4 linked regions of the Diceros bicornis minor genome follow. The main gene of each other region encodes a partner of the protein of the gene in region 4 in a complex. Links are inferred from orthologs where the notes say so. Each region holds a gene or a part of one and is shown on either strand. Other genes may lie near its edges. The genes, in order: SRRM2, SCNM1, ARMC7 and SRRM1.

The links.
Region 1: SRRM1 (region 4) and SRRM2 share a complex: the UniProt entries of both Homo sapiens proteins name them as parts of the minor spliceosome. The link is inferred for Diceros bicornis minor from reciprocal best matches to the Homo sapiens genes SRRM1 and SRRM2.
Region 2: SRRM1 (region 4) and SCNM1 share a complex: the UniProt entries of both Homo sapiens proteins name them as parts of the minor spliceosome. The link is inferred for Diceros bicornis minor from reciprocal best matches to the Homo sapiens genes SRRM1 and SCNM1.
Region 3: SRRM1 (region 4) and ARMC7 share a complex: the UniProt entries of both Homo sapiens proteins name them as parts of the minor spliceosome. The link is inferred for Diceros bicornis minor from reciprocal best matches to the Homo sapiens genes SRRM1 and ARMC7.

Annotation. Positions count from the first base shown.
Region 1 is NC_080765.1:45,635,228-45,642,107, reverse strand, and holds the start of SRRM2 (serine/arginine repetitive matrix protein 2), read right to left. Parts: upstream 3,015-6,880; 5' UTR 2,875-3,014; intron 1-2,874. UniProt on the Homo sapiens protein: Required for pre-mRNA splicing as component of the spliceosome. As a component of the minor spliceosome, involved in the splicing of U12-type introns in pre-mRNAs.
Region 2 is NC_080743.1:55,452,049-55,459,554, forward strand, and holds SCNM1 (sodium channel modifier 1), read left to right. Parts: upstream 1-4,646; 5' UTR 4,647-4,685; coding exon 4,686-4,736; intron 4,737-5,005; coding exon 5,006-5,076; intron 5,077-5,314; coding exon 5,315-5,403; intron 5,404-5,503; coding exon 5,504-5,601; intron 5,602-5,719; coding exon 5,720-5,808; intron 5,809-6,489; coding exon 6,490-6,684; intron 6,685-6,828; coding exon 6,829-6,928; 3' UTR 6,929-6,988; downstream 6,989-7,506. Other genes in the region: LYSMD1 (lysM and putative peptidoglycan-binding domain-containing protein 1), read right to left, coding at 3,610-3,789. UniProt on the Homo sapiens protein: As a component of the minor spliceosome, involved in the splicing of U12-type introns in pre-mRNAs. Plays a role in the regulation of primary cilia length and Hedgehog signaling.
Region 3 is NC_080757.1:55,646,522-55,654,343, reverse strand, and holds the start of ARMC7 (armadillo repeat-containing protein 7), read right to left. Parts: upstream 3,005-7,822; 5' UTR 2,634-3,004; coding exon 2,543-2,633; intron 2,452-2,542; coding exon 2,308-2,451; coding exon of another isoform or gene 2,276-2,307; exon of another isoform or gene 2,262-2,275; intron 1-2,261. Other genes in the region: SLC16A5 (monocarboxylate transporter 6), read right to left, coding at 6,294-6,544, 7,271-7,822. UniProt on the Homo sapiens protein: As a component of the minor spliceosome, involved in the splicing of U12-type introns in pre-mRNAs.
Region 4 is NC_080752.1:40,889,020-40,896,376, reverse strand, and holds the start of SRRM1 (serine/arginine repetitive matrix protein 1), read right to left. Parts: upstream 3,010-7,357; 5' UTR 2,944-3,009; coding exon 2,923-2,943; intron 2,606-2,922; exon of another isoform or gene 2,551-2,605; intron 3-2,550; coding exon 1-2. UniProt on the Homo sapiens protein: Part of pre- and post-splicing multiprotein mRNP complexes. As a component of the minor spliceosome, involved in the splicing of U12-type introns in pre-mRNAs. Involved in numerous pre-mRNA processing events.

The sequences.
Region 1 (6,880 bases), on a different chromosome or scaffold from region 4:
GTCCCTTTATTCTCCTTTGGCCCCAATATGCACAAGTGGTGTCTTCACCAACTACTCTAATTCCTAACCTCTGGCAACTGACTGAGGCCTCCAAACAGGGCACACAACAAACACCAAACAAACATATGTGGCACCCAAGGGCCTGCAGTCCAAGCCCAAAGGCTCTTCCAAGAACTACCCTAAGGATTTCAGACTACCCTGTTATGAATACAAACTGACTAAACAGCCCCTAAATACCCAAACAGGTTGACTAATTGGTTCTTAAGATAAACTCAAGTGTTCTGTGCAGCCTCACATCCAAACTAAAGGCCAGCATGAACATCAGAAACACACATGAACCTTGGATACCTAACGCTCTTATACTTCACTCTCAGGTAAGAAGCCATTTCCTTGGTTCCAAATATTTATAGCTCATATCAACTATCCTGACTGATATCATATTCCTTCAATTTCCTTCCCAATAGAATTTCGCACATGATTTGCAGCTCAACCAAGTCTCACTAGCTCCTGTTAAATATTACCTGTTTTCAACTCAATGCTCCAAACACACCAAACCAGCCTCTGTTCCAACTATTCCCATACCTTTTCTACATTCCTTGCCCTAAACTTATTCAGAAAACCCCCATTCTTTTTACCTCACTTTCATTAATGTTAAACTGTTGGCTTTCCCTAAGAGTCCCCTGTATCTCACTTCCTAGTTTTTCTTTTCTAGCCCTGCCATATCCCTCTCACTTTATCTCCATGCCTCCCACCAGGTTCTATCCTCTCAACCCCAGCACGACACTGAAGAGCCCTGAAGTCTCAGCTTTTCTGGGTAGATTTCTTGGCTATACATACTCTATTTCTTTCTCCAACTCATCCTGTCCACGATAGTTTCACAGAGCATAAATGTGCGAGGGAAAACTACCCCAGGAAAAAACTCAAGGAATAAAGTGGAGAGATTAGAGAAGGCAGAGAGAAAAAAAGATAGAAATGGATAAAAGAGAAGGCTACACTTTAAAAATTCCAGAATAAAGAAACATCATACAAATACATGGAAAAATAGCACTAAAGCCAATACCTCTCTGTGTGTGCGTATATGGAAGGGAGACAGCTGACAGTTCAACTCCAAAACAGTTTGGACCCACCCCCTCACCCCCCGCATCCCAGTAGCAGACTCAGGAGAGAACTGAAAAGAAAGATAATCATACCAAGGTAAAGGTGTGACAAATAAGGCTAAATCTAGGAAAGGCCGACTAGAAATGCATGAAAAAACAAAAAACTTCTTTATAGCACAAGAAATCAATTTCTCTATCTTCCAAGCCTCACTTTCATTTTCTCAAATACCAATCCTCCCCATTCTAAACCTAGGTCCTTCTTTGCCTCTCTATACCCCACCTAATTTCAGCTTCCCTTGTTGAATGCTTCTGACCCACAATTAATTCTACATTTTAATCATTCACCCACACTTCCATACCACCTCACACGAAAATCCTCCCACTCCCTAGGGAGGGAAAATCAGTAGCTGCTAAGCAAAAAATATTAAGTCCCAACGAACTGGAGAACATTTAGGGAATGAGCCAAAAAAAAGAAAAAAAACAGTATCTAAGGCAGTGCCCAAAACACTAAGCGGAAGAGGAAGGACGGACCAACACACACACTAATCACCAAAAGCAGGTTAACTTTATGAGACAGGGATTCTTAAACTGGGGTCCGCAAACTGAGCACGCACAAATTACCCAAACTACAAGCAAAAAGTAAAAGTAAGAAACATACAATTTTTTGTGTTGGAAAATTATCACGATGTCAAACTAATTAGAAAGAAATCATGAAATTCAACATTAAGCTACTGAACAAAAGAAATGCACCAAAAAGGAAGGAGGGGGGTGTGCAGGAAAACAGACATAGGTAAGCACAGCAAGCTCAGCACTGGGCACGGTAGCAGCTGAGTGGGCACTAGGGAACCCAGAAAGCTAATATTAGCTCAGGAAGAGACCTAAGCCCACACACACTTGAGAGCAGACAACAATATACTCTTTGAATTTTTGGTGCAGAAGACGTCTTACTTAGATAAGTGTGAGTGGAAACCAAGGCTCAGAAGAGCTGTGTGCCAAATAACGCGTGAAACAGAGTCCAGGGTTTTCTTCCCAAGGACGGGCTCCAACAGCCTCCTGCCTCGCTTTAACACAACTTTGAAGAAGATAACGAAAAAGCTCCAGGAAAAAAGGAGCACATGGTCTGCCCTTACATACCCAGACTGACTACGTAATCGTGTTTTTTTCAGGGTTTGGGGCTTTGCTCTCCCTAATACTTCACTGCGAACAGTAACGAGTCCGAACTCTCTAAATCTCCGGGCCATCTAGTTCATAGGCCTTCTCGGCACTGGCCGGGCCGCCAAGGCCTATTTTCGGCCTCGTGGGATGGGGGAGGGGGCTGCGCGGTGCCCCGTCGTCTGGGAGGCTCCGGGCCGGGCCTCAGGCCCCAAAAAGGAGACGAAGCCAAACACGAAAGGCGCGGGGGAAATGACCCAGGAGCAGGCGCCCGCCACCACCCTCTCCCCGCCGAGAAAAATGTCGGAAAGGGCAGCTGCCGGATGGCCTCTTCGGCCGCACGCGTCAGAGAGCGAGGAGCCGAGCCGCGCGCTCCCCGCTCCCTACCGAGAGCGCGCGAGCCGGAGCGCAGTCGGCGGCGCGCGCCGTTGCCATGGGGGAGGGGAAGAAGAGTAAAACCCCGCGCGCCACAGGAAAGCGGAGAGGGGGAGGGGAGGCAGGCAAGCGAGCGCGAGCTAAGGGCGGTGAGTGCGCGTGCGCGCGGCGGCCTGGGCCGTTCTCCGCTCGCTTTGGCCTGGAGCCGGGGCCGCCGCCCCTCCCCCACCCGGCTCTCGCGCTCCCTCACCCTCTCACCCGCCGCCTCCGCCCGCCGCCTCCGAGGGGAGAGGTGCTGCCGCTGCTGCTGCCGCCGCTCGAGCTCCTGACTCCCTCGGGGCCTGGAGCCGCCGCCTAGCCTCGCCGGTCCGACCGCCTCAGCCGACACCGACGTCTCCTAGCCTCCTCAGGGGCCGCAGCGGGCTCCGACTGCGCCACTCGCACCCCGCCTGAGCAGCGCTGCACGTCAGCACGACCAACTAAGCGCGTCAGCACGCAGCCGCGCGCATCGCAGGGCCCGCCGGGAACCGTAGTACGCCCCGTGGTCTTGTGCGCAGGCGCCGAGGCTACACCGGGAAGTGTAGTTTCTTAAGGAGGGAAGGAGGTTCAACTTCGTTGACGAAGAACTACAAGTCCCGTCGGCCAGTGCGAGGAAGGGCTGGGTAGTGGACCAGAGTAGACAACGTATTCCGGAGGGTTTCCGCTGGGGGGAGAGGACACAGAGCCTCGCGCCACATCGAGTGACGCCAGAGCGCACATGAGCCTCCCGCCTTCGACCCAAACCATTCTGGGAGTTGTAGTTCTAGCGTGGCACGGAACCCGTATGTAGCTGCGGCCACCACCCCCCCCTTACCCCGGGGCGCGGCCGCCATTTTGTCTTCCCATGTTGGGAGGCGATGGCCCGCGAACAGGGGAGCTACTGCTTCCGTGTGACCGCGGGCCTCCACGGGGCGAGCCCGCGGCCGCGCCGCCCTCGGCCTTCCGCACCCGGAGAAGGCCCCTCAGACCCCAGCCAGCGGGCACCCCCGGAACCTCAGATCCCAGCTTCAGGCCCAGGGCCTGAGGCAAAGGCCGAGCCAGCCTGCCGTGGTGGTTGCAGCTTCCACGCGGACGGTGCTGACCGGGCGGCTGCCCTGGGGGATAATTTTCTATGACCTCCGGGTAAGGCGGCCCGGCAGCGACGCGATTTCCTCCTGCAGAATCTGGGACGTGTTACCCGTGGCGGGAGGAATACATTACAAACACCCTTGAATTTTTCACTCCCCCTGCAGAATGTCCCCTGTTAGTGTTTTTAAGTGCGTTTTGTGGAGCCCGAGAACCAGCCTGTCTCCCTGAGAGCAGAGCTGGAAGAAGCTGGGCTGCTCAGGCCCGAGTCTTGGCCTGATGCCCCCCCTGGCCGGCCGACGTGGACTGGCTCAGCCGCCTGTGTCTGGAGGGCGCGCACTGTCCACAGGACCCCGCACACGGGGGACACGTGGCGATCTGTGGTCCGTGTGAGGTTGAGGGGCTGTATTTGATATGACAAAGTTTTCTTCACCTGCCCGCGGGAGGATGAACTCACTTCAGGGGCTAGAAGCGGGGACCCGCCGTTCTGTGGAGGAGCAGAAACTTGAGCCTGCACTGCCCAGGGGATGGTTCCCGTCTTGCCTCCGTGAACTGGGGCACCTTTGGGTACCCCTTCCAGGAGCTGGACGCACCTCTGGAGACTCTTATGGCAAAGCCTCGGTCTTTCTGGGCCGGACCTGCTATTTCTGAGGGTCAGGGTGTGGGGTGCTGGTTTCTTAAAACCCACCGCCACCACTGAGGCCTCTTCCTGTAACCTAATTCCCACTGATATTCTTCCCTATGTCTACTGAATATTTTGTGCTAAATTCTGTAGGTGAGTCAGCGCATTTAATGCTCGCGGCAACTCCGTGGGGTAGGTGTTATTCTCCTTTTTCTATGGGGAGAACAATGAATTTCCTCACATTGCCACAGCAGCTTTCAAAATCAGGAAAGTAGCATTGAAACAGTACTGTGATCTACAGACCCTTTTGAGATGTCATCAGTTCTGATAATATCCTTTATAGGAAAAGAAAATTCAAAATCATGCGTTGCATTCTTATCATGTCTTTTTTAGACTCAATCTAGAACAGTTCCTAATTCTTTGTAATTCATGACATTGCCATTTCTGAAGGTTACAGGCCATTTATTTTGTACAGTGTCCCTCAATTTGGGTTTATCTGATGTTTCGTCGTGTTTAGATTCAGGTTATTCACTTTTGGCAGGAAGACCATGGAGGTGATGCTGTGTTCTCTGTGCATATTGTGAAGAGATGTATGCTGCCCAATAGTTCCGTTTCTACCAAGTTGACTTTGGTAAAGATGGGGTCGACCAGGTTTCTCTGTTGTAAAATTTCTAGTCTACCCTTAATAGTTAAAAAAAGGATCTAGGGGCCGGCCCGGTGGCGCAAGAGGTTGGGTGCGCGCGCTCCGCTGCGGCGGCCCGGGGTTCACTGGTTCGGATCCCGGGCGCGCACTGACACACTGCTTTGGCAAGCCATGCTGTGGCGGCGTCCCATATAAAGTGGAGGAAGATGGGCACAGATGTTAGCCCAGGGCCGTCTTCCTCGGCAAAAAAAGAGGAGGATTGGCGGATGTTAACACAGGGCTGATCTCCTCACAAAAAAAAAAAAAAAAAAAAAAAGGATCTAGTGGGCGGGCCCCGTGGCTTAGCGGTTAAGTGCCCAGGCTCTGATGCTGGCGGCCCGGGTTCGGATTCCGGGTTGTGCACCGACGCACTGCTTCTCCGGCCATGCTGAGGCTGTGTCCCACATACAGCAACTAGAAGGATGTGCAGCTATGACATACAACTATCTACTGGTGCTTTGGGGGGAAAAAAATAAATAAAATTATTAAAAAAAAAAAAGGATCTAGAGCAAATGTATTTAGAAACCAAGATCTGGGTAGTGGGTAGACTTATAGTCACTGTAACATCATTACTTATAGGCCTTCTTGGACGATAGAGCTGGGAAATGGATGAGATATATACATCCATGAGTTATATCTCCAATTCGAATCTAAGGGTACAGGGTTCATTCTATCCTTTCCCCTCTCTTTATTTGTAACGCCATCCTCCAACCATGAGGAACTTGGCTTCCATTTCCTCAGTATATTCATTTATGTGCTCCATCCTAGAATTCCAAAAAGTAGCTTCAGAATTGTTCATCCATGCATCTGCAAAAAAGAAAAAAGCCTACCTGTTATAGGTCAATATTTGTTTAGAGGTTTTTGTCTTTAGCCTGAGGGCATATGCTCTAAATGCTATATTCAAAAGTTGCTTGAGGTAGTTGGTTTTATTTTTTTCTCACCCTTGAGTGTGTTTATGTTATTTGTGTTATGTTATGTGTGTTATTCATTTGAAATATGCTTTGGTTCATTTGTTTGTGTTTGTGTTAAACTTTAGGATTTTTTTCCTCCCATCCTTGAGATTTTAGTTACTTTTTTCAAATATGTGAAACAGTTACAGGATTCCAAAAGGCAGGTCTGTAAGAGAAGGTGTATTCAGAGCGGTGTCTACCCCTCCGCTCCCTCTCTCCTCTCTGTGCGACTCCTGCCCTCTACCTTCTGGTATCAGCCTCACCCTCTCTGCTTTTTCTTCCGAGGTGTCTTGTTGCTCAAGGGAGGAGGCAAATGTACATTTTCTTAATTGCCCTCCTTTTTTCACACAGGAGCACACTATAATCACTCTTTCCCACTTTCCTTTTCTCACTTCGCTACGTATCCTGGAAATCGCTCCACAGCAGCGCACAGAGATGTGTCCGTGGACTTGTATTCAGCCACTCTTTTATGTGTGAGCGTCTAAGTTGTTTCTCATATTTTGTAATTACAAACCATGCTGCTGTGAGTAACCTAGAGCATGTGTATTTTCATATTGTTGGGGGTGTATCTTCAAGGTAAACTCCTAGAAGTGGGATTGCTGGGGCAAAAGGTAAAGACACGTAGTCCTGCTAGTAATGGCAGGCTCCTCTCAGTAAGACTTACACCAATTTGCATTCCCACTAGCAAAATGTGAGAGGACCTGCTTTCCCAGCCTTGCCAACAGAGTGGGTTGCTATACTTTTCAGTTTTTGCTAACCTGCTGAGTTATGGCGAGCAATGTTATTTCAGTGTAGTATTTTGTAATGAAATGTACTTAACATAAATTTACCATTTTAACTATTTTTAAGTGTACAGTGGCATTAAGTACATTCACAGTGTTGTGCAGCCATCACCACT
Region 2 (7,506 bases), on a different chromosome or scaffold from region 4:
ATACTTTTGACCTTGTGGATCCCTGAAGAGTATCAGGGACCCGTAGGGATCCCTGGACCTCACTTTGAGAACTTCTATTAAAGATGAAGGAATTGAGGCTCAGAGAGGTTAAGTTACTTGCCTAAGATTATCTAGCAAGTTAATGACAGAGCTAGAACTAGAATTCTGGACCTTTTTACTCCTTCTGGAAATGCTTTTCTTTTTTTTTTTTTTTTAATTTTATTTATTTATTTATTTTTCCCCCACAGCCCCAGTAGATAGTTGTATGTCACAGCTGCACATCCTTCCAATTGCTGCATGTGGGATGCGGCCTCAGCACGGCCAGAGAAGCAGTGCGTCGGTGCCCGCCCGGGATCCGAACCCCGGGCCGCCAGCAGCGGAGCGCACGCACTTAACCGCTAAGCCACGGGGCCGGCCCCTGGAAATGCTTTTCACACTAAAATATTAATAATTTCACTGATCAAATATTTATTCAGTACCTACTTATTCATCATTGAACACAGTGACTGGCATCACCATCTACTGACCTGCCTCACAAGGTAGAAATATCAACGTCATCCTTAACTCATACTTTTATTTCACCACCCATTCCCAAGTGGTCAAAAAAAAATGCTGCAAAAATCTCTCTCACATCTGCGCTCATCTGCACATCTACTGCCATCACCTTAGAACAGATTCTTAATACTTCTCATCTGGGTATTGCCAAGCTTTTTAACTGGTCTTCCTCTCTTCATTTCTACTCAGATTCCACCCTGTCGACATCTATCTTTCTAAAAAAATTAATCTGATCAACCAAGTACCCTGCTTATAAACGTCCTACGGCTCCCCACTGGCTCAGAGATAAAATCTAAATTAGCATTCAAGGGCATCCTCAATCTAGCCCCCATGGGATGTCTAGCTGTATCTCTCTTCTTCTGCTATGTATACATTTTGCCATCCTGCACTTTTCGTTTTTCTTTGAACATTACATGATCTTCACACTTCTGTGTCTTTATCTGCCTGAAATGCTTCTCCACTATCCCCTTCTCAGCCTGGAAAACTTCTACTCATCAACTACCACTCCCTTTGTGTTACCTTCTTCAGGGCTCCCAATGCATACTGTAAATATTGCTGTAATCATACCTACCCTATTACATTGTTATTCACCTCTTTGCATATTTGTCTTGCCCAAACGCTGTGAGTCCTTTAAGGGCAGGGATGGTGACTTGCTGTCTTTGTATCCCTAAGGTGCTCCTCAGCATCGTACAAACTTGGCACACAGCAGAGGCTCATTAATGCTTTATGAATAAAGAAACTAGATAATAAAATACAGAAACCACAGATATAGTATATCAGTATTTCATTATCAGAGGCCAGGCAGCCAGTTTTACTCAAGATTCATCCCATATTGGCACCAGTTTGGGAAACCATATTTCTTATATCTGTCAAATATCAGAGCTGTTTCCACCCTGGGGCAAGACTATTATAATAAACTTGACTAATAAAATCTCATGCTACAATGTGTTTAAAAATAAAACCAGATTAATCCAAACAATAAAAAAAGTTAAAATTGGCTTGCAGTTTTGCACTTTTACTTTGCCAAGTGCTTTGATGATATTAATTTTATTTTGCCTAGATAATATCCTAGGTGCCTTCTAGCTCCAAGATGTTATGACTTAATCTGTGAATTTTCTATTGCTTTTATTATTTCCTAGAAGTACCCTATAAGGGGACATCATTCCACTTTTAAAAATGATGTAAGGCCAAGGCCAAAGCCCAGAGGAGTCCTAGGCGATCGAGCCGCAGTCTTTAAGAGCTAGAAAGGCCATTACAATCTAGTTAGTTTAACAGAGCAGATCAAAGTGAGGATTTTAGAATGAGACAACCTGGTCTGAATCCTAGCTCTACTAATTGTGTAGTCTATGGCAAGCTGTCTCCCTAAGCCTCAGTTTCCTTATCTTTAAAAGGGAATATTTACACCTACCTCATAAAGTCTTATGAAGATAATATGAGATAATGTATAGAGCTTGGCACATTCTAAGTCTTCCTTAAATGACAGGTAGGTAATAACTTAGATAATTATCATTATTTAATACATCTTCCTCACTTTACAAATGGTGAGGAAACTGAGGCACAGACGGGGAAGTGACTTACACAGTCCCTCAGCTAGTAAGCAGCAGAATGAGGTCAGAACCTGGAAGTCTTCTTCACTATACTACAGTTCTTCCGTACTGGAGGGTACAGGGCTATAAGGAAACCCCACAATTGTCAATGCACTAGTAGCACAGTGCCTTTCTTTGCATGGCTTCTGAGCCTCTGCTGGGATGGAGGGGCTGCTCAGTACTTTCACATCCACTTCCTTTGTTTAGGCCAAGCCCTCTACTTGAAATGGTCACTTTCCTATACTCCCAATCTCCATGAGCAGAAATCTTAGCCATACTTTCATTCATTCAAAAAACACCGATTAAGCTTCTATGTGCTGGGGACTATGCCAGACTCTAGAGATATAAAATTGAAAGGAAATATTTCGGTCCCTTAAGGAAAGTATAGGCTATTGGAAAGACAAAGATTTAGAAGGTACAAACAACTGGATTACATAGGTTTGTAGAGAGGAGCATAGAGGAAGGAACTTCTAAGTCTTTCAAGGCCCATCGTGATGGCTCCCTTCAAATTTGCACTGATGTCCACCCCCCGCCCCCTGCCAAATAAAAATTAATTTTCTTTTCTGATTTATCACCCTTTGTTAATACCTCTACAAACTCACCACATGCTGTCACCTACAATCATTATTTGTGTCCCTCTCCATTTCTCACTAGACTGTAAATTACATGAGGGCAGCAACTATACATTTTATTTATGTTTCTACCTCCCAAGATGGTTACCACAGTGCTTTAAACACAGCAAGCATAAAAATATTGGCTAAATTCAACAGGATATGGGGGAAAAAAACCCTCATCAACTTTAGTGCAATATATTTTTACACCTATCAAAAATACCCTATGCTTGACCTCAAATGCTTGGTGTAGAAAGCACCTGTTTTACATCAAGGAGGCCACCTAACTGGAAAAAAGAAGGCAGAGCATTGAGGAGGAAAAAAGAACAAGACAGAGACACTTTAGGAACTTAGAACTAAAACCCAGCGCTCCATTATCTGCTGTAAATGTTAATCACTCTCAATTAAAAAGTTTCTATTGGTTAATAGCACAGGCTTTGGAGTAAGACAGATCTGTTTGAATTCCCACTCTATAACACTCATTATTTATTTGACCTTGATCAAATTGGTTGACCAATCTAAGTCTCAGTTTCTTCATCTGTAAAAAGGGGGCAATAATTGCATGCTTGATAGGGATGTGAGGATCAAATGGGCTAAAGTATGCAAAGCCCCTAGTACAGTGACTGGCATAATAAATAGGAGCTGCTCCTCTCCATTGGGATAGTGGGACAGGATACGTCCCAACCAGAGAGTGAAACGCTGAGATGGGAAAACAAACAAAAAGATAGAAGTGGATCAGATAACACAACACAACTAGGAAAATTTCAGGAGAAGATGCCTAGAAGAGCTACTACATTCTGAGGAATAAAGCTCTTGTAAGAGAATGATTGTCCACATTCCAATCCTGGAAGACTCACCGTCACCCCGTATTTGAGTGCTAGTCCAGCTAGGGTGTCTCCGGGCGCCAACTGATGCTCCAAGCGTCTTTCCCTCACTGGGGAGCAGGCAGACTGCACCAGGCTTCCATAAGAACGAGCCCGGCTCCCTTGAAGCAGTCCTGACCCTCCGAAGGGGGCTTGTCTAGAGGGAGAAGCCATCTCCTCACCCTGCGGACAGCTGGGGTTGCAACTGCGGGAGGCCCAGCTAAAGTGACCGATAGTGACCGGCCGGGGGTCTGGGAACGGATATCCCGGGGATTCCTTTCCCCTTTTGTCTTCTCTCCTAAGTCTCCCCGCCTCCCTCCGGCACTACGCGTCCCCTCCACCCTCGCTTCTCCTCCCTCCAAGCCCCTTTCCCACAAGTCTGTACCCTGAGTATTCAGTCCCTACCTGAGTCTTTCCTTAGTACCCCCGCGACTTTCGACCCTCCACAACTTGCTACATTGACCTCTGACCTTTGAACTCTAGACACCCTCCCCAACACCGCTCAGTTTGCCCTAAGTCGGGCAGCCCGGCCTCTGGACCACCCCCACCCCCGCTCCGCCCCTTCCCGGGGTTGGTTCGCTAGGGTCAGGAACAAATCAGGCCCACCCCGGGTGGGCTGTCGCCGCAGACGAAGCACGTAATGATTGCGAGAGTTTGTAGTACACTTCCCCACAGAGGTTCTCAGAGGCCCGCTCCGCACCAAATCAATCACACCCTCAAATTCAGCTCCACATCTAATTTCTTGTCCCTCCAAACGTCTCGAACCTGCCAAGATACAAGGGCCTGGATCCGGCCGGGAAGGAAGCTCTTTGAAAAAAAGACTTCATTTCCCAAAAGGCACTGCGTCTGCGGGGTCGCAAGACACCATACGAGACGCAGCCCCCCTCGACAGGCTAGAGGCGGACTTTCGGGGTCGCGCAGAGCATGATGGAAGCTCATCCCCGGAAGTAAGTAGGCCAACCGGAAAGAGCCAAGAAGGAAAGGAGACGCCCCACTCTTGCTACGGTGGCCTGAAAGGAGTGCCGGAAGCGGTACGATAGAATTGATCGTTTCTGGGACTCACGGTTGTGATGTCTTTCAAGAGGGAAGGGGACGATTGGAGTCAACTCAATGTGCTCAAAGTAAGCGCGAGAGGAGAGCATCTGGAGCAGCTTCAGCTGCCTTCTGAAGGCTGTGAAGGAGCTGTTTTGTTGCTCTGACAACAGCTTGGGGCGGGGGGCGCGGGAGGGAGCCAGGCGTCTAGAGAAGGATAGAGACCCCTTCCTCGCTTATGATCGCTGTTCTCCGCATGATCCTTATTCCGTTTGAATCGTCGTCCCTATCATTTCCCTTTCGTCTTTCCCTCTTATCCCACTGATCCCGTCCGGACTTCTTCCCGTATCCCCTGCAGAAACGAAGAGTCGGGGACCTGCTGGCCAGTTATATCCCAGAGGACGAGGCGCTGATGCTACGGGATGGACGGTGAGGGCGAGAAGTGGATCAAACCTGAGGGTTCTGCGGTTAGAGGCTCAATAAACTTTTGTTATTAAAGAGGAGAGCGGGAGTACCTAGGGTTCTCTGGCGGCGAGTGAGGGCCAGGGATGTGGGTGGTGGAGATTGGGAGACTTGGGTGTTGGGCTTTGGAAAGGACTGCTAGGACAGGGTGGAACCTACGGCAGAGACCCCACTCCCTTGGGACCAATTATCTTCTTCTCTCCAGATTTGCTTGTGCCATCTGTCCCCACCGACCTGTACTGGACACCTTGGCCATGCTAACTGCCCACCGTGCAGGCAAGAAACATCTGTCCAGTAAGTTTGAGGGAATATAGGAGATAGAGAACAAACTCTCAGAATCTCTGCAGACCACTCTTGGTGCTCTGTTTTTAATTCTCTTCCCCTTTTCCCTCAGGCCTGCAGCTTTTCTATGGCAAGAAGCAGCCAGGAAAGGGAATGGAGCAGAATCCAAGACAGCAGAATGAATTGAGGAGAGAAGAGACCAAAGCTGAGGTAATCAGAGAGGGGAGGGTGTGTTCCGGCAGGACTCTGCTGCACACCTTAGGCTTGAAGGGTTTGGGCTTCTTTCGAGCTCTGAAGGCTCTGACTCTGTCTCCCATCTCCATACCAGGCTCCTCTGTTAACCCAGACTCGACTTATCACCCAGAGTGCTCTGCACAGAGCTCCTCACTATAACAGTTGCAGCCGCCGGAAGTACAGGTCTGTGGGTGGGAAAGCCAAAGGTAGGGAGGGGCAGAAGGAAACAGATGGCTCTAAAATTATTGTTTTCTGAATTGTATTCTGAGGAATACTTGGGTTCTAGAGATGTTAACTGATATTTCAGGAAAAAGAGAATTTTGTAATTTTTTTTGTGTGTGTGAAGAAGACCAGCCCTGAGCTAACATCTGTTGCCAATTCTCCTCTTTTTGCTGGGCAAGATTGGCCCTGGGCTAACATCCGTGCCCATCTTCCTCTACTTTATATGGGACGCCACCACAGCATGGCTTGACAAGTGGTGCAACGCTCCATGCCTGGGATCCAAACCTGCGAACCCGGAGCCGCTGAAGTGGAGAGCGTGCACTTAACCGCTGCGCCACCGGGCCAGCCCCAAATTTTGTAATTTTTAAAAAATAGTTTGGGAAATGGCACTGTGTAATCCTACTTGAAGAATAGTAATATTTGTATATTTTAAGGGCTCTACAAAGCCTCGAGATTAAAAAAAAAAAAATTTAACCTAGCCTTTCCTAAATTCATTTGATTCTAACATCGTTTTTATGCAGAACACTTATTAACATCTTGAGGAACACAGATTAGGAAGCACTGTTGTAAGGGGTTGGGAGTCACAGGAGAATTGGCCCTTTCCTCCACTGCTTTTACAGACTTCGATTCTTCTCTACCCAGACCAGAAGTCCCTCGTTCTTCCGTCTCCCATTCCCCTTTGCCACCCCCAGAGGTTGAACTCCAAAGTGGGCAGATCAGTAGAGAACTTGAGCCTGGGGCTGGCCTACAGGCCAAGGAGTCAGCAACTGTCTCATCCCCTGCACCTATGAGCCCCAAGAGAAGACGAGCCTTGGACCATTACCTCACCCTTCGAAGGTGAGTATGCAGAATCACTTTCCTCAGATGTTCTGTTTCTCTCTGATCTTCCTTTTTTCAGACCTTTTTGATTGTTTTTCCTTATACTCACTAACTTCTTAAACCTCCTTTCCTGATCAATTCTATTTTCTCTGATATTTCCAGCTCTGGATGGATCCCAGATGGACGAGGTCGATGGGTAAAAGATGAGAATGTTGAATTTGACTCTGATGAGGAGGAACCCCCTGACATCCCCTTGGACTGACACCCCCCTCTCCCCATTCAATTCAAATAAACTACAGTGGGCACTGGGAGCCTAACTTTCCTCGAGTCTAGTTCCTTGTCCCATTTCAGGATTTCAAATCTGTTTATTCTCAGCCCAGCCAATCCTTCCCTGCAATGCACACAGCTCCCCATACTTCTAACCCCTCCCCCACCTCTGGCAAAGTCATGCCAAGCGTCAGCTGCATGCAGCCTAGTGCCCTATTAATAAGTCTGTCAGAAGGAAGTCTTTGCCCTTCATGTTGTCTTCTTCCCCATTTCCACTCAAAGTCCTTTCCTCCTTCGAACCACATGAGGGTTGTGCATAGGCACTGGGGGGCCTGGCCACATCTGGAAACAGGGCCAAGGCTAGGTACCCTGTGAAAGTAGAAGAGACTAAAGGCATTGGCAGGATTATGGGAAACATCAAGGGAGGGAGGTCCCCCACCTCCTCCTAGTAACTTGAACCTCCCTGCCTGCTGATCCCCAGAGTATAAATAATCCCCTGATGAACTGGCAGTAACCCTTGGGGGTTAGCGCCAAGATTCTCACCCCAAAGCCCAAGGCAAGAGGCATGCAGAG
Region 3 (7,822 bases), on a different chromosome or scaffold from region 4:
GGATGTCCACACACGTGTGTGAGAAGAGAAGGTAGGCCAACGCCCATTTGTACTCTAGCCCCAGATATCACAAACACAGGGGCAGACCTGGATGGTCTTTCAAAAACTTAAATTACACTTACCTATGATGTATTCAGCAAAAAAAAAAAAAAAAAAAGTGTTGCTTGATTCTACCAAGGCCTTCAATCTAATTTCTAGGTTACAGGAAATAAACGGGAAGGGGATAGAGGAACAAACCAAATAAAGCCCAAGAGAGGCAACCAGACAATTCAGAAGGTGGGACATTTTGCAGAACTGAAGAACTAACCTGGATCCTTCCACAATTAGTGATATTAAAAAAAGAGTCTGGCCTGGCCCCGTGGCTTAGCAGTTAAGTGTGCGCGCTCCGCTGCTGGCGGCCTGGGTTCGATCCCTGGCACGCACCGACGCACCCCTTCTCCGGCCATGCTGAGACCGTGTCCCACATACGGTAACTGGAAGGATGTGCAACTATGACACGCAACTGTCTACTGGGGCTTTGGGGGGAAAAAAAATAAATAAAATTATAAAAAAAATAAAAATAAAAATAAAAAATAAAAAATAAAAAAAGTCTATTAATGATTAAAAGAGATATAAGATAATTTACGTAGTGACTTCCTTCCAAAGAACACAATATGGAAAGGGTGGGGAGAGTAATTTACAGCGGAGAAACCTGACAAATACTACCTCAGCCAGGGGATCAAGGTCATCATCAACAGTGATAAGTCATATTGACAGCATGTACTCTTGATATGATGCGACGAGGCTGGCATTTTACCTGGGTCACCCTCCCCAAACCCATAATGCAGCCTGATCATGAGAAAAACATCAGACAAATCCCAATTGAGGGATAATCTACAAAATTCCTGACGAGTACTCCTCAAAACTGTCAAGGTCATCAAAAAAAAGGAAAAGTCTAAGAAACCGACACAGCCCAGAGGAGCCTAAGGAGACGTGACAACTAAATGTAATGTAGTATGAATGGGATCCTGGAACAGTAAAAGGACATTAGGGAAAAACTAAGGAAATCTGAATAAAGTATGGACTTGAGTTAATAATAATGTAGAGTTAATAATAATTTATCAATATTGGTTTATTAATTGTAACAAATGTGCCACACTAAGATGTTAATAAGAGGGGAAACTGGGTATGGCACATAGAGGAACTCTCTGTATTATCTTTGCAATTTTCCTAAAACTGTTCTAAAATAAAAGTTTATTTAAAAAGAGCGAGAGATAAAGATCTAAGGAATATAACCAGATGAAATGCATGGATCCCAGATTGGATCCCGGCTTACACAAACAAACAAAATGTCCTTTTGGGAACTATTAGAGAAATTCACATAACTGTGTATTAGGTAATAATGGAATTATTAAAGGTAGGTTTCTTTCCCTACATGAATAAGATTCCTTTCACTATGTAGAGAAATGTTATTTTTAAAACATGCATGCTGAAAAAAGAATTTTTGTTTGCCCTCAGAATAAATTTCAAACTCTTTCCCATGGCCTACCTCTAAGCCCCTGTAAGCTCTGGTGCCAATGACCTCTCGAACCTCATTTTCTACCACTCCCCGCTTCACTCACCACAATCCTGCCACTCCAGCCTTCTGGCTCCTCCTGCTGTAGGGTTTTCCCTAAATGCCTTCCCATGATGGCCCAAACAGAAGTAGTCCCCAGCTCCGACTGCTCTGTCTCATCACCCTGTTTATTTCCTTCAGAGCCTCAGCTTTTTTTTTTTGTTTGCTCACCATCTGTCTCCCCTACTAGAATGGAAGCTCCTTGAGAGCAAAGACCTTTGCCCAACTTGTTCACCATCTCACCAGCATTTAGAACAGTACCTTGCTCATACAGTACATGCCCAATAAATATCTGTCCAGTGAATAATTCAACAGGTCTTAGACCATAAGAACTACACGAACCATAAGCTACACATTCCAAGTTACCTCTGCTGTTCTTGATAGTAAAACATTAAAATAAAGATGTTTGAAGGATCACTTTTTAAACTTTTTTCCCTCCAACTGGCTTCAATCCATTCCCTCCTTTATGACTTCATCTCTAAGCAGGAGGGAAGGCAGACAGGCAGAGGGAGTCCTGGGCGTGAGTTCCAGACCTGACTCAAGCTAGCTGTGACCTGGACGATGCGTGAACCGCGGAGGCGGCACAGACATCGCGAAGGTCTGCCTTGGCAGCTGAGGGACTGCCTAAGAGATTCCTTTCCCAACGACTCACTTCTCACTCACTTACCTCACCACAGCCCATCAGGCATCTGGGGGCCCAGCCCCATCCTTACCAATAGCAAACTCCACCAGGGTCTCATTCTCCTCCGACAGCGAATCGAGGAATAAATCAAGGACCTGCAGCTGCCGCAGATACTGGTAATTGCTGGGATCATAGGCGAAATTGGCGAGGTTGGCCAGGACTTGTTCCTTGGCGTCTGCAGCGGAAAAGCAGAACTGGAGCCAGGTCCCGGGCGGCGGCCGCGGCCAGACCCCCGCCCCGTCCCGACCCCATCCTGCCGCTCTCACCTGGGCTCTCCGTCTCCTGGAATTCCGTGACCAGCGCCTGCAGGTACCCCAGGCGCCCAACGTGGGGGTCTACCTTCGGCTTCTGGGCCATGGTCGGGGAGGCGGAGGACCTCCAGCGCACAGGCAGGAGAGTGTGGGAGGTGAGGCCGGAAAAGCCGGGAGAGAACCTGTCCGGGCCTCTACCGATAAGGGTAAGGGCGGACCGGGGCGCGAAATATCTTCCTTTTCTGGGTTCAGGTTATGCAGTAATTTGCAGGTGGAATTGGGATGAGGAGGATGGGGTGGGGCCTCAGGATCTTGTAAGAGTTGGGCGTGAAAAATCTAAATTGCGGCGTGAAAGACAAGGACTGCGCTGTGCGCTGGAAGAGGTAGTCGCGGTACGCAGCACTCCTCCGCTGGGCTTGATTTTCAGCTCGATTCCGGGCTTCCGGTGGAAGGCACGCTTACCTCCGCTCCAGAGGGCGGAAGGGGCGGGCTGAAGCGGGCGAAGGGCGGGGCCTGTGCTGAGCTCGGCGCGCGTGCGCGTTCCGCTTCTCGCCTTACTGCCGGGGTCGCGGCGAAGGGCGTTGGAGAGTTATGTATGCATTGATGAGCACCTCTAGGGTCCTTGGGAGCTCAGAGGCGGCGGAGGGTGTACATGTGGGGGGCTGTCGAGGCAGAAGCATCTCCAGACCCCCTTGCACCTGAGGAGAAGACGCAGCTCAGCCTCCTCGACCAAGGGACGCGGGCTCGGCTCCCTGCGCCCCCAAGATGGGTCCTTTGACACTACCTCTTGCTCGGCTTTTGCAAAAACCGTCTGCTCCGCAGCCCCGAGCTGAGTCCGCCACCTCTGGCCAGAAGTCTCCGGAACTGGGTTTGTCAGCCAGGTGGACGGGGAGCGCTGGGGCAGCACCAACGGGCCGTAGGAACCTCAGTTCACCCAAATGCACCGCTTTAGCGGCTTTCTGGGTTGTGCAGCCTTGAATGCTGAAGCCCTTCAGCCTAATTCTTTCTCGGGCCTCTCAGGAAGATGGTGTGTGACCGAGACCCTGTAGGCACAGGGAATAGAGCACCAGGGAGAGAGGTGGCCCTGCTGCACTCCAACCATGCTTGAAAATGTAGGGGTTAAAGGGGCTTGGGCTGTGAGCTTCTTGAGGGCAAGGCCCATGTACCTTTGTTCCTGGGCCTGGCATGAGGGCAGAGTGGCTGCCACACTCCAGCCTCCACAGGCCCCACCTCTGTGGGCTTAGGTCCCTGTGGTCAGCCCCTGCTCTATGCATGCCCCCTGGGGCAGGAGTTATGACCATAGTCTGGGTGCTTGGGTACTGTGGCTGCTCCATGGGGGTGGTGGCCCCAGGCCCCTCGCCAGGCCCTTCAGCTTCTTTGGGGAACTGATGTGACCTAGGGAAGTACATCTTAGCCCAAGGTATCAGGGGGCTTCTCTGCCTTTGGCTGGACAGAGCAGCGAAGGCCTGGGGACCAGGAGCTCAGGGCTTGGGGACAGGATGGCAGTGAGCTCCACCCTGTGCTGCTCAGGAACTGCTCCAGACCCTCTCTAGGGGATTTCCGGGAAATCAGCTAAGTGTGGGTTCTGGCATCAGATGGGTCACCCTATCCTCCCTTATTTGTTCCTTGCCAAGGCCTCAGAGGCCCTCCTTGGGGAATAATTCTCAGTCCCTGGTTTTGTGCTGAGGGCAGCAACCAGGTCTTACTCCTCTCTGCCCAGTCCCTAGCACACAGTAGATGCCCAATAAATATTTGTTGAAGGAATTCTGCCCAGAGATTATTGCCACTCTTGCCCGAGGGCAGATGAGCTCAAAGTCCCCTATGCTGAATGTTCACTGATATCTTTTTTCCTTAAAAGAAATTTTTTTTAAGGATAGGGGCCTATTAGAGGATGCACATTTCAAAGCCAGATGGCTGCTAGCACTGGAAGCATTCACCTACCCACCAGCCCCAACTCCTTCCTCTTCCACTCAATTAAGATAGGTGAGACAAGACCTGGTAAAATGTGTCCCAGCATTCCCCCTCCAGTGCACAAGCTGTGGCTGGTGGCCAAGCGCAGGACTGGGTGGGGAGCAGGAAGGCAATGGGGGTCAGACTTTTCAAACTGGAAGAGACTTGTGCTTATCCAGGCCAACCTCCTCCTTTCTGAAAGCCCAGAGATGGTGAACAATTTGCCCAAAGTCCTAGAGCAAATTGTGGCAGAGCCAAACATGAACTGAGGTCTATCCCACCCCAGAGCCCTTTGCTTCACCTCTGCACTACCATCTTTCGCCATAAGGGGGCACTCATGACAGGGTCCTGGAGAAGACAGGACATCCCCAAGGATGCTTACTCATCCCAGTTGGAGCCGGGTCATGAAAATAAAATCAATTCTCCTGATAAGGTTTTCTTGTTGGAGCCTGGCTGAGCTTGAATCAACAAATAAGGTTCTGGGTGAGTGCAGCCCTTGCTGAGCTGGGAGAACTGAAGGGGGAGGGGGAAACTTACTCCAGGCCTGTTTTCCAGCTTCATTAGTTCACAGGGTTTATATAACCTGCTGCAGAAAACATTTTTGTGTGTAATTCAAACAAACTCTGTTTTTCTATTCCCTCTGTTGGTACCCTGCTGGGACAAGCCTGGGCTGATGACAGCCAGCCCCCAGGTGATGAGCTCAGGGAAGGGCACCAGGAAAAACAGTGTGTGTGTGTTGGCGGGGGTGGGGGGGTGGGGTGGGGGGGGTGGTTCTGACCTCCAGGCCACATGCATAGGCCAACAGGGAGCAGGGGTGGACTGACAGCTGTCCCAGCCAGCTACTTACCCCAGGGATGACACCTCTGACATAGGAGGGAGAAGAGAAGGGCAGGAGAGGGGAGTGGAAGGGCTTTTGTTGCAAAAAGCAGCTCCATTTTCACAGAGGTCCTTGGGCCCTGCCCAGCAATCCTGCCCCTCCCCTGGTCAGTCAAATGTCTAGCTTCCCCCAACCCTGGCACTAATCTTCCCAGCCAAGATAGAGGGTGGGGCAGAGGGAGGGAGACCCTGAAGCAGACCTTGCTGAGTGTGCAGGGGGACCTCTCAGACTTCACTGATTCTAGGACCCAATGCTCTCCTCCAGTTCTTTGCACAGACACCAGGACAGGCACTCTACCCAAAGATTTAATCTGTCCAAACCCTAGCCTGGCCCTCCACCGCTGCAGGCCACAACTCCTTCTTTCACAAGGCCCTTCTTCCCAAGGTTCCAGTCAACGTGGGGCACAGCAACCTGTTCTGGAGGCAGTTCTAAGGGCAAGGGCCGGGTCGCTTGGGAAGAGGGGGACAGAAGGGCCTCAGAGGACGGGTGAGTTCTTTGGAACTGTCTGGAGGCCGGAGAAGGACAAAGAGATCACATCAGAGGCATCCGGGCTGGACTAGGAGGTCCAGTGTGTTGAGCTGTAGCAGCAGTAGTGGGCAGCCAGCTGAGCTGACCTGGCCATGACAGACGGGAGCAGGGCTCAGCCCCAACTTCCTGGGCCCCAGGTACTCTGGTACCAAGGATAAAACTCAGGAGGACCCGCTCCTGGATTCTGCTAGTTGCAAGGAACCCTGAGTCTTCGGAGGCCAGCCTCCAAGGTTCCAGCTCCTGGCTGAGTCCCAACGTGCAAAGCCTGGATCGCCTTTGGTTCAGGCTTCCTGGGGGCAGCTCTCACCCCAGCTCCTGGCAAGGCAGCTGGACATCCCATTCCTGGGCTGAGGCAGTGGTCACTCACTGACCTCAGGGCTCAGATGCTGGTCACACATGTGATCCCAGGGCTCAGAGGCTGGTCACATACATGATTTCAGTGTACACCTGCTTCTTGGAACCATCTGTGCCTTCCACGGTGAGGGTCTGCTCCAGCGCAGCCTCCGTGATGGCTCCTTCCCCCTCGGCCTGCCTGCCCTGCCTCTCTTTCTTCCGCAGGGCACAGAAGCTACCACCCATGAAGAGGGCGCCTGAGATGAGGAAGAAGCTTGACATGTAGAAAACATAGCTGAAGTTGTTGTCAGAGATGTCCAGGAAGAACCCTGGGGGACAGACAGCAAGTTAGGCCACTGCCTGGGGCTACTAGCCCCCTCACCACTACACTGTGCTCTGCTAGAGCAGGGATTTTATTTTTGTCTCTGCTGTATCCCTAGTACTAGGAATTGTGGCTGGGACCTAGTAGGCTCTCAATAGATAATTTGTTGAATGAAAGGAGAGGAAACACTAACCCTGCTCTGGCCCAGGCTGGAAGAGTTCTCGGGCTGGAAGAACACTGAAGGGCATGTCTCCCTCACCCTTGGTGGCAGGAAACCAAGGACACAAGGGCCAGTGGAGTCTGGGGTATCTGCTCAGTCATGCACTGGGCCCACCCCAACCTCCTCCTGCATAGCACTCACAGTGTGCCAGGCTCTCCAAGCTCTTTACTGTGTAACTTGCAGTCCTCACAGCAAGCCTACCAGGTAGATTCTATGACCATCCCCACTTTGCTGATACGAAAACATAGGTACAAAGAGGAGGAGGAAGGACTCAGGTAAGTCTGGTACCAAAGACCCTTATTTGTAACTGTTCATACCCTGAGCACCAGTTGGGGGACAGGCAGTAGCCAGTCCCCTGGGGTGCTTGGGAAAATCAGAAATTCCAAGTCTACCTCTGGGATGCTGGATGGGGCCCAAATCTATCCAGACCGTTTCCCTTTGTCCCACCCCCATAGCCTGCCCACCCAGGCCACACCCACGCACACCCAACTGCCCTCCCTCCCAGGGCCTCACCAGCCAGTGGTGGGGCGATGAGGATGGAGATGCTCTCCAGGACAGTGAAGAGGCCCAGGGCCCTGGAGAACTGATCCATGGGGACAATGTCCATGAGGACCTGGAAGAGGAGGGCACCAATGCCACTCATGGACACGCTGTACACCAGGCAGTAGCCCACCAGCACCCGGAAGTCAGCCGACACTGTGCACACCAGGTTGGTGAGCCCGTTGAGCAGGGCTGCCAGGCTGAACAGGTACTTGCGGTGGCCAGCAAAGTCCCGCCGGCCTGCCATCAGCCCAGCCATGGGCCGTAGAAAGATGTTGCTAAAGCCGATGATGGAGATGAGCAGGGCTGCCCGGTGCTCGTCCACCCCATGCCGTATGGCGTATGGCACCAGGAAGATATGCGGCAGCGGGAAACCCACGATCATCCACACGACACCTAGCGTGTACACACGGTAGCCTGTGTTGTGCCGCAAGATGTCGAAGGCCAGGTGGCGCTGTATGGCCCGGCTACACGCTGCCGGGCAGCCGGGCGCAGGTGTCTTGGAAGGTGGAGGGAGGCCTTTTC
Region 4 (7,357 bases):
CCCTGCAGGAAGAGAAATACATTTTAATTAAGAGTTCAAAGTTAAATTCCTACTTTTTATCAGCTACTGATGGCTATGACCTTTACAGTCGAAATAGGGTAATCAAGTAAATAGAAACACCATAGCTAATATTCATAGGTACAGAATGTATACTCTCTTCCCAATGCAGCTGATATTTTGAAAACTGTATTTAAAAATTACAAAATACATGCTCATTGTAACAAGTCAAACAATATAGCAGCATACAACATAATGCTAACACCTCCCCCACAACCAAGTTTGATGTGCATCTTTCTATACCTTTTTCTAGGCTAATGGAGATTTAAGGCTGTTTGGTTTAAATGAGAACACACTGGGGCCAGCACAGCCGTTGAAGTTCACCCATTCCACTTCAGCGGCCCTGGGTTTACTGGTTCGGATCCTGGGCGTGGACCCCCGCACTGCTTATCAGGCCATGCTAAGGTGGGGTCCCATATAGAAGAGCTACAACTCTACACTATAGTACACAACTGTGCATTGGGGCTTTGGGGAGAAAAGGGAAAAAAGAGGAAGACTGGCAACAGATGTTAGCGCAGGGCCAATCTTCCTCAATAAAAATTGCTTAAAAAAATAAACGAGAACATGTTGTAATATTTACTACGCTTAACATATGCCTTCAAACAAGACCGTTAAGTTTCATCCTCTTCTGAAAGCCAGTAGCATGTTTGCAAAATTATTGTGGCAATGCATATAAGGGGAAAAAGGAAAAAACTCCCTAGGCCTGTGCTGTGTTTAGTTTTCCACAACTTTAAGAACTTGAAATGCATGAAAAATATAGGTTTACCTTCATAAAATCAATTTCAGCGAAAAATTTGGAAAAATAAGAACTTACAAATACTACATTAGACCATCAAGTGATCACTAGTCTACATTTTGTCATTCCTACTGGCCCAATTAAACCTGGAAATAACTAGCCATCTGATACAAAATCTACTGATTGGTTCACTGAGTTGGTCACTGTCCCTTGGAAAGTGATCAAGAAAATTTTGTTCGGGAAGGTAAAGGACCTGGATAAGAATCTCAACTCTGCCACTACTTAAGCCATATGACCTCAAAGCAAGTTACTTAACCTCTCTGAGGATGTTTCTTTAGTTGCAGGAGTGTGTATATCAGAAATGATACATGTAAAGTCACTGGCATGTGGCAGATTTCAACAAATGCAATCCATCACTTCTAATCTATCATTTCTATCTTAACCGAAAATGTCAGTTTACTACCCTGGCTGGCACTGTACTAAAAAGATAACTACCCTAAAATCTTTTACCTCGAAGCTTACATCCAGTCAACTCATCTAAGGAATTATAGGCGGTATATAAAAAACTGCATCCTTTTCTTTCAGACTTTTACCAACACCAAAAGCAAACTTCATTTTTAAATTTATCAACCACCTTGCTCTTTTTCTACCGGAACTCCTTTCCATGGGAAACAACCAAAAAAATCACAGGCTTTTGTTTCAAATTATTACATTCAGACCCCAGGAAATATTGAGTATTTACTACAAAATACTTTGATGGAAATTACAAAATGGAGTGTTCATCCGCAGTGTGATAATTTGATAAGCTCTCTCAACTGAAACTATCATTACATAAATAACTACAATACTGTTTGCATAACCTAAGAACCGTCAAATAACTGGCTGTTTTAAGTCAACTATGGGAATAACATTCCAACTTTTGATGAAAAACTAATTGGCACACTGAAAGCCAATTAAAGAGGAATTTCAACGCCAGCTTTGGAGTGTCAAGAGATATCTTAACCAAGTCCTGGTGTTCCCCTCTTCCACTTTTCCTTTAAACACACACGTACAAACTGCATAATATGCTCCGGGGAATGGAAAGAGACAACCCTACCCTACATAAAGCATACATTTTGACTTGGACCCACTGGTCTCTATGTGGTCCGTTGTGCTTTAAGAGAATCTGCAAAGTCTAGTCCTGTTAGTGCCACTTCGCACCCGTCCAGATCTCGACTGGGTGCTCATTTCCTAAAAGACGAGACAAACAGGCGCCAGCACGAGCCTGATACTCTGGCCCCTGAGGACCAACTACGCGCGGCGAGGTAACTTCCCCGCCTGCAGGTGATGGGCGAGCAGCCCGGCAGAACCTAGGTAAGAGGCACGTTTTCTCCAGCGGACTTCAAGAGTTTAAAAAAAAGAAAGAAAGAAGGGGGGGAGGGAGCGAGCGGGAAGGAGAGGAGGCGATCACCCTGTACCCTGCCTCCGCACACGCGCACACTTTTGTTGCGCCCTCTGCCCTCAGTCCCCGATTCAAACGTTCCAACTACGTATCATCTGAGTTCCCCTCCCCGCAGGGTATTAAATTGGGCGGGAGCTCTCGCGAACTCTGACCCCGCGCCTTCGCGAAGGCTCAGGACCAGGGGGAGGCCGGCGGGGGAGGGGGGTCGGGGCCCGCTTTCTCAAGAAAAGACGCCCGACGCTGTTTCCTGTGCTCTACCACGCTCTCCCGGGGCGGCACCCCCAAACCGTGCCCAGGGCCTCCCGCCGCCAGTCACCTCCGGGCTGCCCCGCGGCCTCCCCCCCGGACTTCCTCCTCGCGGCTCCGCTAGGCCCGGGACTCGGCGGCGCGCGCGGCTCGGCGTGCAGGCCCCGCCAGGCCGGCGGACGGCGAGGGGCCCCTCCGGCCCATTCCCGCCGCCATTTTCCGGCGACCGTCGCCGCCGCGTAGGGGGGACGATCCCGGAGGAGGAGACTGCGCAGGGGCGCACCGGTCTCGCCGCAGGGCAGGGGGGCGTCCGCGGGCGCCGAGGATCCTCAGGCTCTTCGAAGCCTCCCCTCGCTGCCCGCTCCGTCCCAAGTCTGAGCCTCCTGCCAGGCCTCGCCAGTAAGTGCCTCACCTCACCCCAGGTCCCCGCGCTTCTACTTACGCGGAAGAATCCCGCGTCCATCTTGCTGCCTCGCTCGGAGATCGCTCCCTGTCCCAGGGTGCACCGCGCCGCCGCGACGGAGGGCGGGACCGGCAGGGAAAGCCGAGCGCCGGGACGCAGCGCGCGCCGCTCCGCCCGCCCCTCCAGCCGACACGAGGCCGCGCCTGCTCAGTGTGGTGCGCGCCCGCCACGCGTGCGCACGCGCGCCCAGATGGCGGGCAGCTGCCGGGCTCCGAGGCTCCGCAGTAGCCAGTCCGGGAGGAGAGCCTCGCGACCGCAGCCAATGGGAGCAAGAGAGAGAGTCGTCGGGGCGCCCCGCCCTGCGAATCCTTTTGTGGCGCTGGACCAGCCCTGTTCGCGCAGCGTGACTTGAGCCCTCCTTCGACCCGTAGTGGAGGAGGCCTCCCGCCCTGGGGGTTCCGTGGAGCGATTGAGGAGAAAGGCTGTTACCTCAGAGTGACGCTGGGGAGGCGGCCGGTGCGCAGAAGAGAAGCCTGCGGCCTCCGCTGTCATTGCGAAAATTGTGATTGTGTTGGTTTTACGAGTTTACCGGTTATTACGATCGGCTCTAAAGTAGAGCGGTGCAGTCTCAGTGAAATCTGCGTTCCGGCCCAGTTTCCCCCCATCCCCACACAACTCGGTCGTGTTCGGGAGAAGCTGGAAATGCCCATTAGAAGAGTTTCGGTTTCGGCTGCCTGGCAACCGCGCTAACGGGCGGGAAGCCGATGAGCGGGCCCCCCGCAGGGCTCTGCGGGAGAAGCAGCGAGCCGCCCCGCGGCGTGGCCTCGGCCCCCTCAGCCCTGCCCTGTCGGGGGGCCTCCAGCGCGGGAGGATGGCGCCAGATTCCCGCCGAGCGCCTTCTTTCTCAGAGAAAGCCTGTGTCCCTTCCGTGGCCGTCTTTTGTCAAGTGCCCGCCCACACAAACACTCGTCCCCCGTTCCTGCCTTTTCTTCAGGACAGTCATCACACCTGAAACTACATTTGTTCTCTCTCGTGCCTTTAGATACCGACTCTGCTGACGACTGCCCTCTCTCTTCAGCTCGGACTTCTCGCCCCAACTTCAAACTCGTAGAGTGTGGATAGACACCCCAAACTTGACATGACCAGGAACTGAACTGGTTCCTCCCTACCCTGGTCTCACCGCCGCCCACCCCCGGATGCGACCTGCTCCTCCCGAAGCCTCCCCTGCCTCAGTTGATGGCGGTATCTTTCCTTTTGTTGAGGACACAAGCCTTGGTGTTACTCTTGACTCCTCTTTCTCTTACTTCTAAGCCATCGGGAAACCCACTGCTAGAACCCCGGTTCAAGGCACCGTCATCTTTTGTCTGAACTTCTGCGCTGGCCTCTTCGCCGTCTGCCTGCTTCTACCCTTGCCACTCAGCGTCTATCCTAAATGCAGCAGAGGGATCTTACTAGAAAACCTTAGACCTGTCGCTCCTAAGCTCAAAACCTTCTAATAGTCCCTCCTTGTTCTCAGAGCAAAAGCCAAAATCCTACCCGATGCCCCCACGTTTCTTCCTTGATCTCGTCTCCTAGTACCCTAACACTGCTCACTGCTTCAACTTCCTAGGCTTGCTCCTGCCTCAAGACTTTGGTGCTGCTGGTAACTTCTGCCTGGAATGCTCTACCCCGAGATATCTATTTGGCAAATTTCAAGTTTTTACTCAAATGTCACCTACTCCATGAGGCCTACCCTGACTGCCCTTTAGGAAATTGCTCACACACCCTTTCTATATCTCAGATGCCTCTTAATCTACCCTCTTTTTTTCTGTCGCATTTATCGCCAAATATTTGTTTATCTATTTTTTTTAAAGATTTTATTTATTTATTTTTCCCCCCAAAACCACAGTTGATAGTTGTATGTCATAGTTGCACATCTTCTAGTTGCTGTATGTGGGATGCGGCCTCAGCATGGCCAGAGAAGCGGTGCATCGGTGCGCACCCGGGATTGGAACCGGGCCGCCAGCAGCGGAGCGCGTGCTCTCAACCGCTAAGCCACAGGGCCAGCCCTGTTTATCTATTTTTAATGTTTGTTTATTATCTGTTCCCCACACTAGAATTTAAGCTCGCGAAAGTCAGGGCTTTCTGTCTTTTTTTGTTAACTGGTGTGTCCCTAACACCTAGAACAGTGTCTGGCCCATAGTGTAGGCTCAGTAAAATTTGCTGAATGAAAGCTTTGTCAGAGGTCAAAGTTAGGGGAAGTGGCTGGCTTCTATAGAACAACTATGAAATCACAGTGCCCCACATCTCACTGACTGTTCTCTATGATTCTGATCGGTTGTTCTGTTTTATACTTCCTTCACTGTCTCTGCTCTTTTGCTGCCAATTTTGTAAATGCTGGTTTTCCTTGAGGTTCTGTCATTGACCCTTGGTTTCAATTATCTTTTCATCTCCCAAACCTGTATATCTCAGGCACAAGTCTGCCCCAGACCTAATATTTTCAACTTCCTGCTGACATTCACTTGCATATCCTGAGCCTTCAGTGAGTCGTAACCTTTTTGCTGGTGGAGGGTCTTGCCTTGATGTTGCTGGCTGCTGACCCATCAGAGTGGTGGTTGCTGAAGATTGGGGCAGCTGCGGCAATTTCTTAAAATAAGGCAACAATGAAGTTTGCCACATCGACTGACTCATCCTTTCACAAATGATTTCTCTGTAGCACGCAATGCTGTTTGATAGCATTTTACCCATAGTGGAACATCTTTCAAAATTAGAATCAATCCTCTCAAACCCTGCTGCTGCTTTTTCAACTAAGTTTATATAATATTCTAAATCTTTTATTGTGATTTCAACAGTCTTCACAGCGTCTTCATCAGGAGAAGATCTCATCTCCAGAAATTACTTTCTTTGCTCATCCATGAGAAGCAACTCCTCATCCATTAAAGTTTTATCATGAGATTACAGCAATTCAGTCACATCTTCAGGCTCCACCTCTAATTCTAGTTCTCTTGCTGTTTCCACCACATCTGCAGTTAGTTCCTCCACTGAAGTCTTGAACCCCTCAAAGTCATCCATGAGGGTTGGAATCAACTTCTTCCAAACTCCTGGTAATATTGTTATTTTGACTTTTTCTCATGAATCACAGATGTTCTTAATGGCATCTAGAATGGTGAATCCTTTCCAGAAGGTTTTCAATTTACTTTGCTCAGATTCATCAGAGGAATCACTATCTATGGCAGCTAAAACCTTGTGAAATGTATTTCTTAAATAATAAGACTTGAAAGTTGAAATTACCCCTTGATCCATGGGCTGCAGAGTGGATGTTGTGTTAGCAGGTATGAAAACAACGTTAATCTCATTGTACATCTCCATCAGAGCTCTTGGGTGACCAGGTGCATTGTCAATGATCAGTAATATTTTGAAAGGAATCTTTTCTGAGCAATAGCTCTCAACATTAGGCTTAAAATATTCAGTAAACCGTGTTGAAAACAGATGTGCTGACATCCAGCCTTCATAGTTCCATTTATAGAGCACAGACAGAGTAGATTTAACATAATTCTTAAGGGCCCTAGGATTTTCAGAATGGTAAATGAACATTGACTTCAGCTTAAAGTCACCAGCTGCATTAGCCCCTAACAAGAGAGTCAGCCAGGGGCCGGCCCAGTGGTGTAGTGGTTAAGTTCGCACACTCCACTTTGGTGGCCTGGGGTTCACAGGTTTGGATCCCAGGTGTGGACCTATGCACTGCTCATCAAGCTATGCTGTGGCAGGGGTCCTACATAAAATAGGGGAAGATAGGCACAGATGTTAGCTCAGGACCTAGCTTCCTCAGCAAAAAGAGGAGGATTAACAACAGATGTTAGCTCAGGGCTAATCTTCCTCACCAAAAAAAAAAAAAAGAGAGAGAGAGAGAGAGTCAGCCTGTCTTTCGAAGCTTTGAAGCCAGGCATTGATTTTTCCTCTCTAGCTATGAAAGTCCTAGATGTCATCATCTTCGAATATAAGGCTATTTTGTCTACATTGAAAATCTATTGTTTAGTGTAGACATCTTCATTAATTATCTTAGCTAGATATTCCGGATAACTTACTGCAGTTTCTACGTCAGCACTTCCTGCTTCACCTTGCACTTTTATGTTATGGAGATGGCTTCTTTTCTTAAACCTCATGAACCAAGTTCTGCCAGCTTCAAACTTTTCTTCTGCAGCTTCCTCACCTCTCTCAGCCTTCATAGAATTGAAGAGAGTTAGGGCCTTGCTCTGGATTAGTCTTTGGCTTAAAGGAATGTTGTGGCTGGTGTGATCATCTATCCAGATCACTAAAACTTTCTCCATATCAACCATACGGCTGTTTTGCTTTCTTATCATTCATGTGTTCACTGGAGTAATTTCCTTCAAGAACTTTTCCTTTGCATTCACAACTTGGCTAACTGGCTCAAGAGGCCTAGCTTTTGGCCTGTCTCAGCTTTTGACACGCCTTACTCACTAATAATCATTTCTAG